Mytilus edulis: one gene and its partner. The protein of the gene in region 2 purifies or fractionates together with the protein of the main gene of each other region. This does not show direct contact. Links are inferred from orthologs where the notes say so. Each region holds a gene or a part of one and is shown on either strand. Other genes may lie near its edges.

What was found. The genes of interacting proteins can lie anywhere in the genome.
Region 1: the proteins of valine--tRNA ligase-like (region 2) and elongation factor 1-delta-like purify together in Homo sapiens (affinity purification with mass spectrometry; 5 studies listed by BioGRID and IntAct, counting the BioPlex papers as one, with this or other methods). This does not show direct contact. The link is inferred for Mytilus edulis from reciprocal best matches to the Homo sapiens genes VARS1 and EEF1D.

Annotation. Positions count from the first base shown.
Region 1 is NC_092355.1:30,361,297-30,369,651, forward strand, and holds the start of elongation factor 1-delta-like, read right to left. Parts: upstream 3,232-8,355; 5' UTR 3,170-3,231; intron 310-3,169; 5' UTR 309-309; coding exon 213-308; intron 1-212. Other genes in the region: regulator of microtubule dynamics protein 1-like, read left to right, coding at 3,941-4,861.
Region 2 is NC_092345.1:78,969,458-78,977,545, forward strand, and holds the start of valine--tRNA ligase-like, read right to left. Parts: upstream 3,272-8,088; 5' UTR 3,064-3,271; coding exon 2,884-3,063; intron 1-2,883. Other genes in the region: heme-binding protein 2-like, read left to right, coding at 7,012-7,140. UniProt on the Homo sapiens protein: Catalyzes the attachment of valine to tRNA(Val).

The DNA.
Region 1 (8,355 bases), on a different chromosome or scaffold from region 2:
CTTTTTATGCCAATTTGGACTAAGCATCTTTAAAGTCACAATACTTCCCTAATAGCAACCAGCTAAAAATTGTTTGTTAAAAGATTGATATTGCCTACTTTAATTTTTTTCAGGACGTTTACGGAAACACATATTAATTTTTTTGGCCTAAACAAATTTGTTACTCCTGCCCAAAGATCTAAATTAGTGTACATAGTTTTATGCAGACTTACAGATGTACCAGCAATTGTACATTGATAAACAGCTTCTGCATTTTCAAATTTCTGTTGGTCTCTCCATGTAGAATCTAACAATAGTGGTTGTGCCATCCTGAAAAAAAGAACCACTAGATTATAAACATATAATCTTATTTTACAAATTCAATGTATAACAAATTTGACAATACTCATTTGAATTGTTTAACATGTCATTTCTGGGCCTTTTAAAGTTGACTATATGGTATGGGTTTTGCTCATTGTTGAAGGCAGTACAGTGACATATAGATGTTTAATATCGGTGTAATTTGGTCTCTTGTGGAGAGTTGTCTAATTGGCAATCATATCACATTTCCTTTTTTTAACTTAAAGGGCTTGATACATTGTAAGGCCAAAATAAAAAGATTGTATGTTTGCCCAAACGCGACCGACCCAAAATAAACCCGCCGACTCAAATTCTTTTTTTGACGTTTTTTTGGAAGAATTTTTTTTTTCCGGATTTATTTTGGGTCAGCTCCGTCATCGTACAAAACTTAATGTTTGTCGTCTTTGCGTTTGAAAGTAATTGTGAATAAGATTAAAAGAAAGCGTATAAGAGACGCAGTTAATCGATATTCGATGTTCTCTGTTTTTATCTTCTGATTTAACGAACGTAAAGAAGTATAACAAGTGAAGTGGCACAGTTTTTTTATGCTGTAGTTGTTTGTACTACCAAACCCTTACCTATATGCTCAACATTAATTTCATCGTGTTATTGAATATCTGATAAGAATATTTGGGTAGATTTGTTCAAAACCATGTGCAATCGAATATTTTTAATGTTATTCTGACAGGAAATGGATCTGGAAGTTGCGAATTTATAATCTTGCAAGAAGATTTTGTTTTTACTGAATAAAAAGGAATTATTTCTTGATAAATTGTTGTCTTTAATTATAATCTTCCTTTATCATGTAAATTAGATGCCCTTTTATTCGAATAGTTCAAATTTACAAGTCTCATTAGACAGTCAGTACGTTGCTGTTTGGGAGAATTAGATAAAACTATAATTGCTCACAGAATCAGAAATATAATCTTAACTGAATGTCACTCCTTCTGAATAATTTATTGCAATATAAATATAAATCCCTTTTGACAAGAGAAATCTGACTTTTGTCAGAAATATTTTTTCACATGTGCAAAAGTAAAAACATGTTATGGACGCCATATTGGATTTTTATACAATTTGTGAGGAAGCCCCTAGAACCATGTCAGACCTAAAAATAAAGTCTTCAGAAAACGTTAACTTTATGCAATTTCATTTAATCAATAATGATTATTTTCAAAAATTTAAACTTGATTATTTAAAGAAATAAAATTATAACAAATACGTTTTTAGTTTGGAGATTCTACAGAACATGCTTTGATCTATTTATAGCCAAATTAGTTTACCTGTGTGATAATGTAAAATATAAATTTGTTTTCAAAACATAAAAAAGACACAAACTAAGGATGGTAGATAAAAATTCATATAAATATTTTAGGACATTTAATCTATTTTAATAGAATAGGATTTAAAAACTGCAAACAAATTTAATCATTACATAATCAGCTGATATTTTTTTTACACAAACATCGTGTTGATCATGTTGATGGAACTGTTGAAAATCACTTCACAAATCCAACAGCCCTTTCACACAGTTAGCAATTGTCAGGGTTATAAACATCTCAGGATACAAATCATATAGTAGACTAATTTATTTATAGAGGTTTTAAATTCATGGCTTTTGGTTGTCTCTACAAAGGTTTGACAGAGAAAAAAAAAGATATACTGTTTTAAGATCTTTTAATATTTTCATGCAAATTTGGAAAAAAAAAAGAAAAAAAAATTTGCCTACCTACCTACCCACACCCAGTCATCATGGGTCGGGTTTGGGCAAACTGAAATATTTTTAATTGTGGCCTAACTTGATAAATGTTAATGACTGTTGTTGTTTGTTGGTGTGGTTCACAATTGTTTCTTGTTTTTTTTACATAGATTAGACCTTTAATTTTAAGTTTTTAAATTGTTTTACATGTAGTTATTGTAGGGCTCTTTAAAGATTGCTGTTCCGTGTGAGCCAAGGCTCTGTGGTGAAGGCCTGATACTTTGAATTGTAATTTTTTTACTTTTTATACATGTACATTGGAATTGGAATGGAATACTACATCTTATTTATATGTGCAAAAAAAGATAGGTGTTCTAGTATTCATTTGCTAACAATATTCATTAAAAGTAATTGTTTTCGCTATGGAGGGGGATGGGGCTGTCAGAGGGGACCTGATAAGTGGCAGATCCAGAAATTTCATAAGTGGGGGCCCACTGACTGCCTAAGAGGGGGCCCGCTCCAGTGCTTCCCTATATAAGCAGCCAAATTTTTCCACCCTTGGCCCCCCCTAAATCCGCCTCTGTTGGTCCCGAAATCTCTGGCTTCAAACATGAAATCCTGAGGTCCAAAATTTAAAGAAATTTAAATCCCAGCATTCCAAAATTGGAAACAAGAATTCCAGGATCTCGAAAGGGTCTATCCTGAACACCCGATCCTGACATCTCCAAAAAGGTCTTCCCCCACCTCTACAAAACAGCAGGTCTTTTTTTAGCGCAATTGGTTAACAAAGCAGACATTCTCATAAAAAAATCTTTAAAAAATGAATGAACTTGTTGTTGAACATTACCAGTTTTTCAGAATCTTTTATCAAATTAAAATTTGTTTCAAAATCTGAGTGGACATCATAAGATGTCAACAGCTTGGAGGTGGGATTGACAAATCTGCCTGAGGCTGAGGCAGGTTAGTCCACTAGAGGCATGTATCTCATTAATTATCCCCCCTTTTTCATTAAAGTGGTTGACAATCTTAAAAACCACACCGAAATATCTTTTGACAAAGTTGATTGTATACAGTAGTTGATGATTTATCTGTGTTTGATTTTAATATAACTTTCTACGTGAGATTTCGTACTTTTTGATATATTTTTTTCTGAAGCCGGCTTTGTTCCACGATGTATAGGGAATAAAAGAAAGATTTTAGGACTCAAGATATAATTTACATAAAAGTACGGGCAGATTGAGAATAAAATCCGGGAACATAATGCACTGTACACTCTGGTAGAAATCAAATCTGTCATGACACATTAGAGGATAAATCTTTGTAAATAAAACGAACAAAACCATATTTTCTAGTCAACCATATTTCCTACTATTTATTGATTACTGATTCTTGTTTTCCGGAAAATAAATGAACCGAACTTGTTTCAGAGATTACTCACTGATTACACTGACAACATATTCAGGTGGCACGGTAGTATTTCCCTGCCATAGGCGACAATGTTAACATTTTTCAGATTTTCATGACTTTCTAACACTCCCCAAGACCTAAAACCTACTGTAACTTGAAGTACTTTCATTCAGATATTCAAAAATAAATGAGAAACACCATCATGACCGTTTACTTTTTTAGCTATTGTCACCAGTCTAAGGGAACCAGTCATTTACATCATATTTGGCCGCAGTAAATGCAATATTCTAAAAAAATTCTAAAAGATTTATTTCAATAGTTACATTTGAAAATTGCTATTTTTCAGACTCATAATTGGTTAAAATACTTGAAAAAAATGTTTCTGGTTGATAATCCATTTTAATGTCCAATCACAGTGTCATAAGTATTCACCTAAGTAGGGTACACAAAGGAGCAACCTAAAACGTTGGAAGCAAATACTACCGTGCCACCTTCATGATGCAAAGTTCATTGAAATTTTTTACAAAATTTAGACAGTCATGTGGCGTGGCATACAGATTCTTGAGGTCCCAGAGAAAGGAATCATATAAACAGTTCAAGAAAATCCAATATCCATTGTTTCCTGTACTGGCATTTCAACCTTTTGCAACAGTCCATGCTCTAAGTTTTGGGTTTGGAAAGAAAGAAGAGGTCAAAGAATTGACCAAAGAAGAATTAGTTGTTATAGAAGCTGATAAAATATATACAGCTAATGAGATACTTAAACTGTATGATTTCCTAATTCAGTACAAGGATTGTCAGAATGATGAAATTTTGTGGAGACTGGCAAGGGCTGCGAGCGACAAAGGAAAACTAGTTCAAAATACCAATGAAAAGAAAGCCTGCTTTTTTGAAGCCTTTGAATATGTCAAGAAAGCTCTAGAATTAAATGACAATAATTTTGCCTCTCACAAATGGTATGCCATACTACTTGATTACACAGCAGAATATGAAGGCACGAAAAAAAGAATTTCAAATGCCTTTCATGTGAAGGAACATTTAAAGAGAGCCAATGAATTAAACCCAAAAGATGCAACATCATTGTACTCACTTGGGTATTGGTGTTTTCTATTTGCAGACATGCCTTGGTACATGAGACAAATAGCTTCAGCACTGTTTGCTTCACCACCAACTTCAACTTATGAAGAGGCGCTGGCTTATTTTGAAAAAGCTGAAGAAGCAGATCCTAATTTTTACAGTATGAACTTATTGATGTTAGGGAAAACTTACCTCAGATTGAAGAACCATAATATGGCGCTGAAATATTTAACTAGAGCGAAAGATCAACCTTTAAATAAACCTGATGATGAAAAGGCTCACAAAGAAGCTCTGGAATTATTAAAAAGCATGGGTGTGAAATTAAAAGACCAGCAATAAGAATAACTTGATTATAAGGCTGTTCATTAATACAATTTTTTTCTTGAATACTCAGGTGTTTATTGGTGCAATTGTTCAAATCAATAACTATATATGTACTTTTTCAAAATACATGTAGTATAATATTTTACAAATTACCAAATTAGAATGTATGTACATACAATAAACAGTTATTTATTTGTGGCTTTATCAGTCTTACTTTTCCAAGTAAAATACTAAATGGCCCGGACATGATGTCAAACTAGTTCACCTCCATAAAAAAATAGGGGTGAAGTTTTATCCACTGTAACAATGTTATGTACATGTATATCCACCACAAATCTTGTATAGCTGGTAATGTTTCATATTCCGGACTTTTGTACACTTCCTAATTGATATTGAACATGATGAAAGCATCTAATTTTTTGGATTTTTAGAAAGTTTCTGTATCTTACTAAATGATTTGATAATTACAATAATTATAAATCATAAATGGAATGGTAATACTATAAGTACATGTGTTAAAATAGAGGATGGAATTACAGGAAATGGGAAATATGACAAAAGAGACAAAAACCTGACCAAAAGTTAACATCTCATTTCTATTGATAATTGTCAGCAGCTTAAATACTGTAAGTTCAGAAATTATTGTGTGCATTTATTTTTGCAATTTGTAAAAGATGGACAAAACTGGGAAGTTAATTGTTGAGATTTTAGGAATGCTGCATAAAGATATGTATCTGACAGATATCAAAATAGTAGTTCTTTTTATTACAAAACTTATCCAATAGACCACTTTCCAGTTCATCCATCACCGGAAAAAAATCGTCAATTATGCAGCCTTTATGACGTCATTTACCAGATAGAGGGGATCGCCTGTATCCCTGCACTATTTACGTTCATCAAGTGTCTTAGTGATCGTCATTGTGCAGGATAAACTAGAAATAATGGTCTGTCATTGTCTGTAGGTACTTAATGACAATTCCCTAATAACAGCAGTGCTGATTGTCAATTTTTTAGAATTCAATTTGCAGTATAATTCTTACAACATAGAATTCTAGTTTTCCAATCACTCGCTCAACATTGGAAAGGAAGTGACGACGCCCCTAAACGCACAAATGACGTTCACTAAAACCAGAGTTTTTGAAGGAAATGCATTGAACTCCAAAGTTGTCTATTGCATTATTTGCATTAATTGATAAATAACTTTTTGTACCTCACAATAAATTCTGAATTAAGTTTCACACATGTTTATATGCCCATCTCAAAAAGAGAGGTGAAATATACCAATTGGGCATTCAAACTCGTTAGTCAAAAATAAACTTGACAACACCATGGCAAAAAAAAAAAAATAACCAAATTAAAAAAAAAAACAAGTTGACAGTACACATACGGTAACACAACATAGAAAACTAACAACTAAGCAACACATCATAGGCGAATCCAGGGGGGCCCGGGTCCCCCTTTGGTAGGAAAAATTTGGTTGATTATATAGGGAATCATTGAAGCATGACTGGAGTGGGCCCCCCCTTAGGAAAAGTTCTGGATCCGCCACTGCACATGCACCAACCCCACCAAAATAAAGGGGATGATCTCAGTTCCTTAGGGATGCATATCCTGCTCAACATGTGGTACTGGTTGCCTCAATGTGTCTTGCCAATATGCTATTTTTACCCCCAGGATATTAAGTTTTATTTAAAAAAATATTCTCCTCCGTAATACACATCTCAGAGTCAGGTTCTCACTGAATAGTTTTGAGGGCAATTACAGTTTCAAATATATATGGCAAGTAAGAGTGAAAAGATAAAACTGTATTGGTATACAATTCATCTTCTTAGTGGATACACCATTTGACAATCTTCAGATAAGACCAGGAGGGATTCATGGACTTGTCTTATATTGAGAACCCTGAAATTCATACAATTTTCCAAATAAAATAGATGTGGTGTAGACATCATTGAGACAGCTATATACCCAAATGTCTATCTTGTCATGTTTTGAATCTTTCTTAGTATGGACAAGCTGTAAACAGAGACAACAATCTGTCAGTCAGCATCACAAATTCATAATTGTATAAAACTGGTGGTTTAATCAAGTATGACCACTGACAAAGGTTCTGACTGGACATATTTCATGTGTATTTACATGGTTAAAGAACTTTTAACAAATTTGAATTACTGCATGTTTTCCATTATTTTCTGTATTTTTAAATTTGTTTTTCATTTCTTCATACTTCTGATCTTATTTTTTTAGTCCATTTTTTTTTGGTGGTATTGGCCTGTTATTGATTTCTCTATATATTCTGTAAACCCCATCTAGACACTCCTAAATTGTGCTGAGACTTATCCTTTTTCATACAAGTAAATCTTTTCATTCATTGTTAAACAAATCATGATTTAGGTCTTCTCTGTTGCATTGTTTCGTAATTTTTTTTTATCCTGGTTTTGTTATAGCTTACTATAAGGCATGGATTTGGGTTATTTTTTAAGTCTGTATAGTGACCTATAGGCTATAATTGTTTGCATTGTTTCATTTTGGCCTTTAACTGGATATACAGCTGTTTATTTGGCAATTTTACAACATCTGAGAAAAAGATCAAACCACTTAATATTAACATTGACCAATGAATCATAAAATTAGGTCATGGTCAAATAATTTATGCCAGCCAGACCTGTACAGCTTGCAATCATTTAGACACCAGATGTACATGTAATGGTCTAATCATTAAAAGTACCTGAGAACAGATCAAACAACAAAATCTCAACATTGTCCAATGAACCATGAAGTTGGAGTCTAGGTAAGGGGTCATCCATAATTGTCAACCATTTTCCAAAGTGTACAAAACGTACACTTGGGGGGAGGGGGTTAAAAAATCAACATTTTTACCGTACGCTTTTTTTTTATTTCCGGAATTTATATCGTTTCCGTAGGGAAAGTCGATTTATAAAATCGAGAATTGGCTTGAGTGTTTCTCTTCTTATTTCTTCTTGATTATTTTCACTTGATGATATTGATTTTGATATCATAATTCTACTCAATCGGGATTGAACGATTAAAAGATCAAATCATATGAAAACTAAATCTTTCAAAAATGTGAACTAGTAAAATTATTTAAACAAAAAGTTTTTATGTGTCCTTTTGTTAATCTTTTGCATGCTCTAGGTGCCCTATTTTATTGGAGTTACCATTTCCACTGTGTGATAGGGGAAACACTAATCTTTGTAATCTTTATTCGGACAAAACACAAGCATCACAGATAGATGTCATCAAAAAAAACAGTCAGATATGTTTTAGTTTTTTTTTCAATGCAAAGTTCTATATTAAACTAAAATATAATAGACAGGATCTTCTTTTTATTAAGAATGACTGATTCTTCTCTTGAAATCTGAAAATGGTTGATGTACACTTTTTGAAGGAGGGTGGGGGGTCTGACAAAGTGTACGTTTTGTACACTTTGGAAAATGGTTGACAATTATGGACGACCCCTAAGATAAAACCTGTTGTGTGCACCTTAA
Region 2 (8,088 bases):
AAATAATGTGTACTTTTAATATATTAAAAAAATTCCATCCAATGAACATGGGGGAAAAAAGGTATAATTTTAACATAAAAAATTTGAAACCAGGTCATGTGCACATCCATGAAGACATGATCCATGCACATTTTACATAATCAAAACTGTATGAAATTAGTAGGTTTTTACCTGGCCTTTCAAAAAAATCTTGTTTCAGGGTACGGTCTCCTTCTTCGAAAAGAGCTAGTGGCTGCAAATAAGTTTTCAATTTTCACTGCCAAAAAAACAGGATGTTTACAGTGTTGTCCACCCTCAAAACATGTAAAGTTGATATAATTTTTAAAATTATTTCAATCATTCAACCTGTTTTAATTGAAAGCTAATTAACTAATTTTTACAATCAAATACAAAAAACATGATACTTTTTCACCAATTGAGTAAATAAACAGGGGTTTCCCTCCATGGTTATTTTTATTTGGGGAATAACCCCTAGTTTTTTATACGAAACTGTTTATAGCACCCATAAGCAGACTCTCTTTTACGGGTCCGACGACTTACAGAAAAGAGCGACGATTTACAGAAAAGAACCAAAAAGGACCGAAAAAGAAAATCATTTTTTTTTGTTATCAAAGGAGATTAGCAAAATGCAAATCATTTAAGTCTATAAATGAAAAGAAATTTACAATAACGTGCTCTCACCATTTTTTGTAATTCTTTATTTTTCTTAAAGTGACGGTCATCATGATTTAATCACATGTCACAGTGGCACCTTAACAAATGTTTTAGACATTTAACATCCGAGAGGAAATGGTGATTCTGAAATGTATATTTTTTGTATTTCACCCAGTGCCACCAGGCAATATGTTGACATCTTCTTTATATCTATTATAAACAAATATTTAATTGATTAGATTAAAATCCTTGATGAAAAATAAATGATAATTTAGAATCATGTAGCATACTTATATTAAAAAAAAATATTACTAAAAAAACAAATTATATTGTCTCTTTTTTGGAAGTCCACATTTCTCTATAAATGTACGATCTAAAATAAATGTAAATTTGAATTATGCATTTATTTATTAAGAGGAATTGTTAACAGTATAAATAAATAGTGTATATGTACATTGCCTTAATTCTATATAATGCTCTTTTAGGTTCTTTTCTGTATTCGTCAGGCCTAAATTAAAATATTGTTTGTTTGCCCTTTACCGACCAACCCTATGAATTCGTTCCGACTGAAAATCTTTTATTTGTATTTCCCGGCAATATTTTATTTTATTTTTTTTCTTCGTTCCTACCGAAAATCTTATATTTGTATTTACCGCTCAAAACTTTTTTAACGGAATCCTCGGGTTTTATCTTCCTCGTACAGTGTTTTGTCCGTTTGGTATCACTAGAGCGTTTGACACGAACACGTGCATTTAGAGATTTAAAGCATTGGTTTGAAATCGATGTCGAAAGTTTTAAAATCATGACGAACATTGCCCTGTGTGTCTTTATACTTGAAGAGCAGGGTTCATTAAGAATAAGTTTGTCCAAAACAAAATTATCAACGTGTGTACAAAATATTTTGTAAACGGACGTTGTATCTTATGTAGGGAGGACTTTGCTGATCAGGAGATCAGGATGATAATGATGCCACGTGAATGATGCCTTCGACCAGCTTTGGCATATTATTTATATCTGACATGAACCAAAAGGCCTGTAAAGGGAAGAATAATTGGCAGTAAAATCGCCAAGTTTTTCCTTATAGACCATTTATAAAGGCAATGTAAAATACGTGACAAGTGAGTTTCAAGTCTTGAAGCATTTTTATAGGAAACACCGGCCCACAGGAAAATTTAAACACTCGAGGGTTGAAAGTAAAATAAGACAAATGCTTAGTTTTAGCTCTTCTAACTGGTTGCAAAACGATGATGGCGGGAAATGGACTACCGGGCAGTGGCTTTATATTCTAATCAAATTTTCTTTTTATTTCACAGATATGGCTCTGGTATTCTAAGTCAGGGACTTTCCATAGTATAGAAAGTCCCTGTTTAAGTTCAAATGTTGATAAAATTATTAGCATGTGAATAAAACATGCTATAGGTTGCACATTGTAAATACAGCTGATTCACAAACCATGCTAGGGAGAGATAGATAATTAATATTTTTGTCATACTGGTTACCAGATATGATCTCTCATGTTTCATCTCCTAGAGACATGATTTGGGATTGGTCACCATATACCGTCAAATTGAAATATGTGGAAAATCTAAGGTCGAGGTAAGGGTAAGTAGTAAAGACTTTTAGTGTAAGTTAAAACTCAAAAGTTCCAGGCATATAAACATTGAAAATATGCCACATAGTCCTTTATTTTTATATTTGAAGAAAAAAGGTAGCAGTGCATATATGCATTAACTTCACTTTCTATATTTTTTTCAAAACCTCCTAGGACTATTATACTAAATTAAATAATCCCAGAAACTTCATAGTAAAAGCATACTTAAACAAATGCAATACAGACAACAATGATATCCTGCAGATTTTGTATCTATAAAATAAAATATTATACCTACCCACCTACCCATGACAAAAAATGTACAGAGTCAAATTATTTTTTGGGAAATAAAAATAAAATATTTTACCTACCTACCTACCCTGTTTCAAAAAATAGGGTCGGAAAAGGGCAAACAAATAATATTTTAATTTAGGCCTCGCTCTTTTCTGTAAATTGTTGGACCGTTATATTTCCATGCAACTCATGAGAGGAACCAGGTGAAAACATTAATAGAATACAACTGGAGGGCGATCAAGTGAATGTGGCGAGTTTACCTATTGCAAGATATATAAAAGCTAAAAGTAGATATCAACAATATAAAACAGTCTCACAATATAACAATAATGGCAATATTCTACCTGGGTGTCCCCTTCCTTCTTGGGTTGATCTTGCTTCTGTTTGAGTTTTTCTTGTTTTGCCTTAAATTTTTCAAGTTTTTCTTGTTTTTGTTTTTCTTTCAAAAGTTCTTTTTCAGACTTCACTTTTGGTATACCCTGTTCTGGTCCATCTCCAACAGCCTGTGAACTGTCGGTTTCCATTATACCGAAATCCAAAGATTGGTGTATTAAAAATTGATATTATACTAATCAAGTCAAATGATGCAATATTGGGAAAGAGATTGTTGATACAATGCGTTGAAATATTACAGAAAATAAGCTAAATGATTAAAATTGTGAGTTTCAAGATTTTTGTGATTGCAGCATACACATGGCTAACCCGGAAGTGAAACCTCAAATAAAAAATATCGGGCACGTATCTGGTTATTTATCCGGAAAATGGCTTTTTGAGGTTTTTTTTCACATGGAAATACACACATACATAAATATTAACAAACCACAAACAAAATGGAAACTCACGCACATACATACACAATATTCTTGCAAAATAAAAAAATATATATGTAGGGGTGCACTCATCATGTCATCATGGCTATACAGACTGATATGGCAGGTCCTATTAGCTGATACAGAGACATATAATACATGTATTATATGAATCTTATATGTCTCTGGCTGATATAAAGGTCACAAGTTATGACCCTTAAATTCATTTAATCATCTTCTGAGATCACCGACAACCACACGTTAATCAATTTTTTATACAATTGGCTCGGAAGATGTGGTATGATTGCCAATGAGACAACTCTCCAATAGAGAACACCAAATGACACAGAAATTAACAATAAACAAACTGCACATATTATTACCGCATGATGCCATCATCAGCTATAAAGGCCCGAAATGACAAATGTAAAACAATTCAAACAAGAAAGCTAACGGAATAATTTATGTACAAAAAAATGAACGAAAAACAAATATGTAAGTGACACATCAACAAACGTAAGAGCGGTCGCGGTTCATGTCAAAATAGCGATCTTCTTTCTTCTTTTGTTACAGAAAACCATCAACGTACTGATGTTTACTTTCCGGCGTATGCAGGGTAAATGTTTCTAAATAAATTGATATGGATAATTTTTTGTCAAATTGACATAGATTAACAAAATATTTCTTCTTTGAATTGTTTTTGGTCGTATTTTTTACGCACATACACAATATTCTTGCAAAATAAATAAATGCATCTAGATGGTTCCATGTAGATGCATTTTCCATCTAGATACTTCGCATAACCATCTAGATGCTACGCACAAGTATCTAGATAATTCGTGTTAGTATCTAGATGCTTTGTTGAAGTAATTAGATGGTCGAAAAGTCCGACTTGAAATCTTGAGTATTCTGTCGTATTTTTAACCAATGGAATTAGATACTTGTGCGATGCATCTAGATACTTGTGCGTAGCATCTATAGATACGTCTTGAAAGCATCTATAGTTACTTTTAATTAGTATCTAGATGGTTCGCATATAAGTATCTAGATGCTTCCTACAAGTATATAGATGCTCGCACAAGTATCTAGATGTTTGGAACAAGTGTTAAGATGCATCGCACAAGTATCTATAGATGGTTGTTGAAAATATCTGAATTGAAAAAGGTATCTAGATATTTCGCTAAACTTATCTAGATGTATCTTACAACCATCTAGATACTTATAAGAAGCATCTAGATACTTGTTTAAAGTATCTAGATTCTTTCAACATGTATCTAGATAGAAAAAACAACTATAGATGGAACCATCGCTATTTTGACATAAACGGCCACTCATACAAACGACAATCCCTTAATTACAGGCTCCTGACTTAGGACAGGCACATATAGTACAGACAGAATGTGGCGGGGTTAAACAAGTTAGCGGGATCTTAACACTACCCTAACCTGGGATAGTGGTGTAACAGTACAACATAAGAACGAACTATTATATAAAAGTGCCAATCTTAAAAGATTTATGAGAGCGGACTGTAAACAAACTAAAAAAAAATCGATAATGTACTTTATATATATATAATAAATATAAGTTGCTTAAGAATATCATTGAAATAAAGCATAATCAGATTTATAAAAAAAAACGACATCTAATTAAAAATATTACTACAGGTTCTGAGTTTTTTTTTTTCAAATGTGCGATTTCGATTTCGGAAGTATTGGCACGCAATATTGCTCTCGAAATAAAATAGCTATATTTTATTTCCATTCTCAATTTTATTAAATCATTCTCAAAGGTAACTTTGGCATTGATCCCGATTCCCCAGTTATCACACTGACGATGCGACATGTGATTGTCTATTCCGCCATTCAATTCCATTTGAGAAATGATTCAGATCGAAGTTTATAATGCGTTTTGTACAAATGCTTGATAGTCATTCTACTAATCTGCACCGTATGATCTTTTCGGTTATAAGGTCAAACTGATATTTTAAGTACACACACCAAAGATGGTTTGAAAAAAATGCATGTGGCCATTTTTCATATCCTTTTAAAAGGCGAAGTCATTATTGATGTTTTATAATTTCGCAAGTTGAATTAACAGTATTTCCTCAGTGTACTTAAAACAGAAAGATGTCTCTCTGATCCTCTCTGGCTTCTAAAATCAAACCGAATTGTATGTCAGTAACCATAACTGACCGTTTTCGAGGTTATTCTCAGTTTATCTCTAAATATTTGTGTTGTTAGAATAGATACACGTGGGTATCAATGTGTTTTGTTTAGTGTAAAGTAGTAAACTTGTTGCATAATGGTCTAACACTATATATATAACCGACAGAGAGTACCAACTATTCATTGTGGAGAAATTAACGAAAACAAGGTAAGATTTTTATTTAATTTTCATAGATAGAAAGAATAAACTTTCAATTCGAACCTTAATTATACAAACGTAGACCAAGGACTCACAAGGCCTATATATAATATAGTCTTGATCTGTGTTTTGTGATTATAAGCATTTTGTATAAGATTCGTAACATTTGATTGTGGCAAACTCAAGTAAGAGAACGGAAACCATTTTTGGGACGTACGAATGACGGACAAGGGTAAAACGTGCGACATGCATGGTTAAACATGTTAACCATAGGCGGATCCAGGGGGGGGCCTGGGGGGACCGGGCCCCCCTTTTGTGGGAAAAAATTGGTTGATTATATAGGGAATCACTGAAGCATGACTGGAGCGGGGCCCCCCTTAGGTCAGTCAGCGGGCCCCTCCCCCCCCCCCCCCTTAGGCAAAGTTCTGGATCCGCCACTGTTAACGGGCGCCCAAACCATCCCTCTAATCTAAGACGGAGCATGGCGAAATAGCAACACACAGAAACAAACACACAGGCACTTGTCTCATATTATTGTTTTCCTCTATATCCTAAATAATGGTATATAGGAATTTTGTTTTCTGAGACAAGTGCCTGTGAACAAATACAATAAATGAAAAACGAATCATGTATCCAATACTAATATTGAAAAATAAGAAACCACCGAATTACGATTGGAGGGTAATAACAACTAAAGGCAATCGTTCGATCATCAAACATGATCAGAAACCATATAATTTTCCTCTAATTGAACCGATTCAAAACTTTTAATTCATGCTTTTTGTTCGAAAAATCCTATAATTGAGGTTTCTTGTTGTGCTCCGCAAAAAGTTGTTTATGATTGTTTATAATATATTCTACTTTGGGACTTTCAATTGTTACATTTGGAACCTTATATTTATCGAACATAAGCATTGTTATCTATACTTGTAACTGTGTTTTACGAACTTTAGAAAAAAATATATCTCGAATACTGATATATATATATACGACTATTAGTTTAAATGTCAATCAAAATTTTCATTTGTAAACAGCTTCAATGGAATATAAAAATAAGAAAACGTGGTAGCATTGCCAATGAGACAAATCTCCACCAGACCAAATAACGCATATGAGTCAAAAACTATATAGGTCAATGTAAAGCCTTCAACAATGAGAAAAAACCAGCTATAAAAGCCCTCAAATGCCAAAATGTATTAAAAAAATCAAACGGGGAAAAGGCCCTTGAGAACTTCGTTAACTTATGTATGAATTCTTATTTGTTTAACACGTTTTATTTCAGTAATCAACAGATCCAATATGTTATTCCAGTGTGTTCTTTCATCTCTGCTGGTCTTTGCATTCACGGCGACAGTCCCTTCTCAACAAAAACCAACCTTCTGTCATGATTTAGACTGTCCAAATTTTACCACGGTTCAATCTTTTAAGGTAAATCTTTTTTTTATATATTTACGTCGGAACACTGTAGACATATTGTGTCTAGATTTAATTCAGTAACTCTCTTTGTCTACAAATATAAAGAATTTATTCTATAATAATAATTGTAATAGTGACGACAAGTCAATAAAATTTGATTATGCAAGTTCATAAATGGAGGCATGTTTACACACAGACTCAATTTGTATGAATGTTTCCGTATACTGAAATGCTAAAGAAACGACTGCAAATTAAACACGTTTTGATTATGCTCTAAAATTTAAACTGCATATTGACAAAACAAACCGTTACGAGTGGGACAAAGGTCAAATCAGAAGGCACAAAACAGAACTCAAAACATGTCTAACATAAAAAATTCACTTTTCTGTCAATCACTTATGCGTTGGCTTCAGACACAAGGTTAATAACCACAAAAAGAAGGTTGAGATTGATTTTGGGGGTTATGGTCCTAACAGTTAGGGGGTCAAAAAGAGGCCCAAATAAGCATTTTCCTAGTTTCCAGACAATAACTTATGGGATGGTGCATGGATCTCTCTGAAATTATACCTCAAGTTTCCATACCACAAACGGATGTAAGAATTGGCTTTGGGGGGTTATGAATCTTACCGTTTAGAAATTATGGACAAAATAGGAGAACTATTACTTAATAAGTACAAAACATAATTTAAAAGCAGTCTAAGGGAGGTAATTCAAATACAACATTTTGAATTACCTCCCTTACACCGCTTTTCAATTATGTATAAAGAAATGTTGTATTGTCTTCAGGTGATTAGCTGTCAATTTATTTTTAGAAGTTACTATTTTAAAATGCTGATAAATGGTAATTTAATTCTAGCCATGATTATGTATGTCATTTTATATTTTAAGACTTTTTAAATGGGTCACTAGCCATGATTATGTATGTCATTTTATATTTTAAGACTTTTTAAATGGGTCATT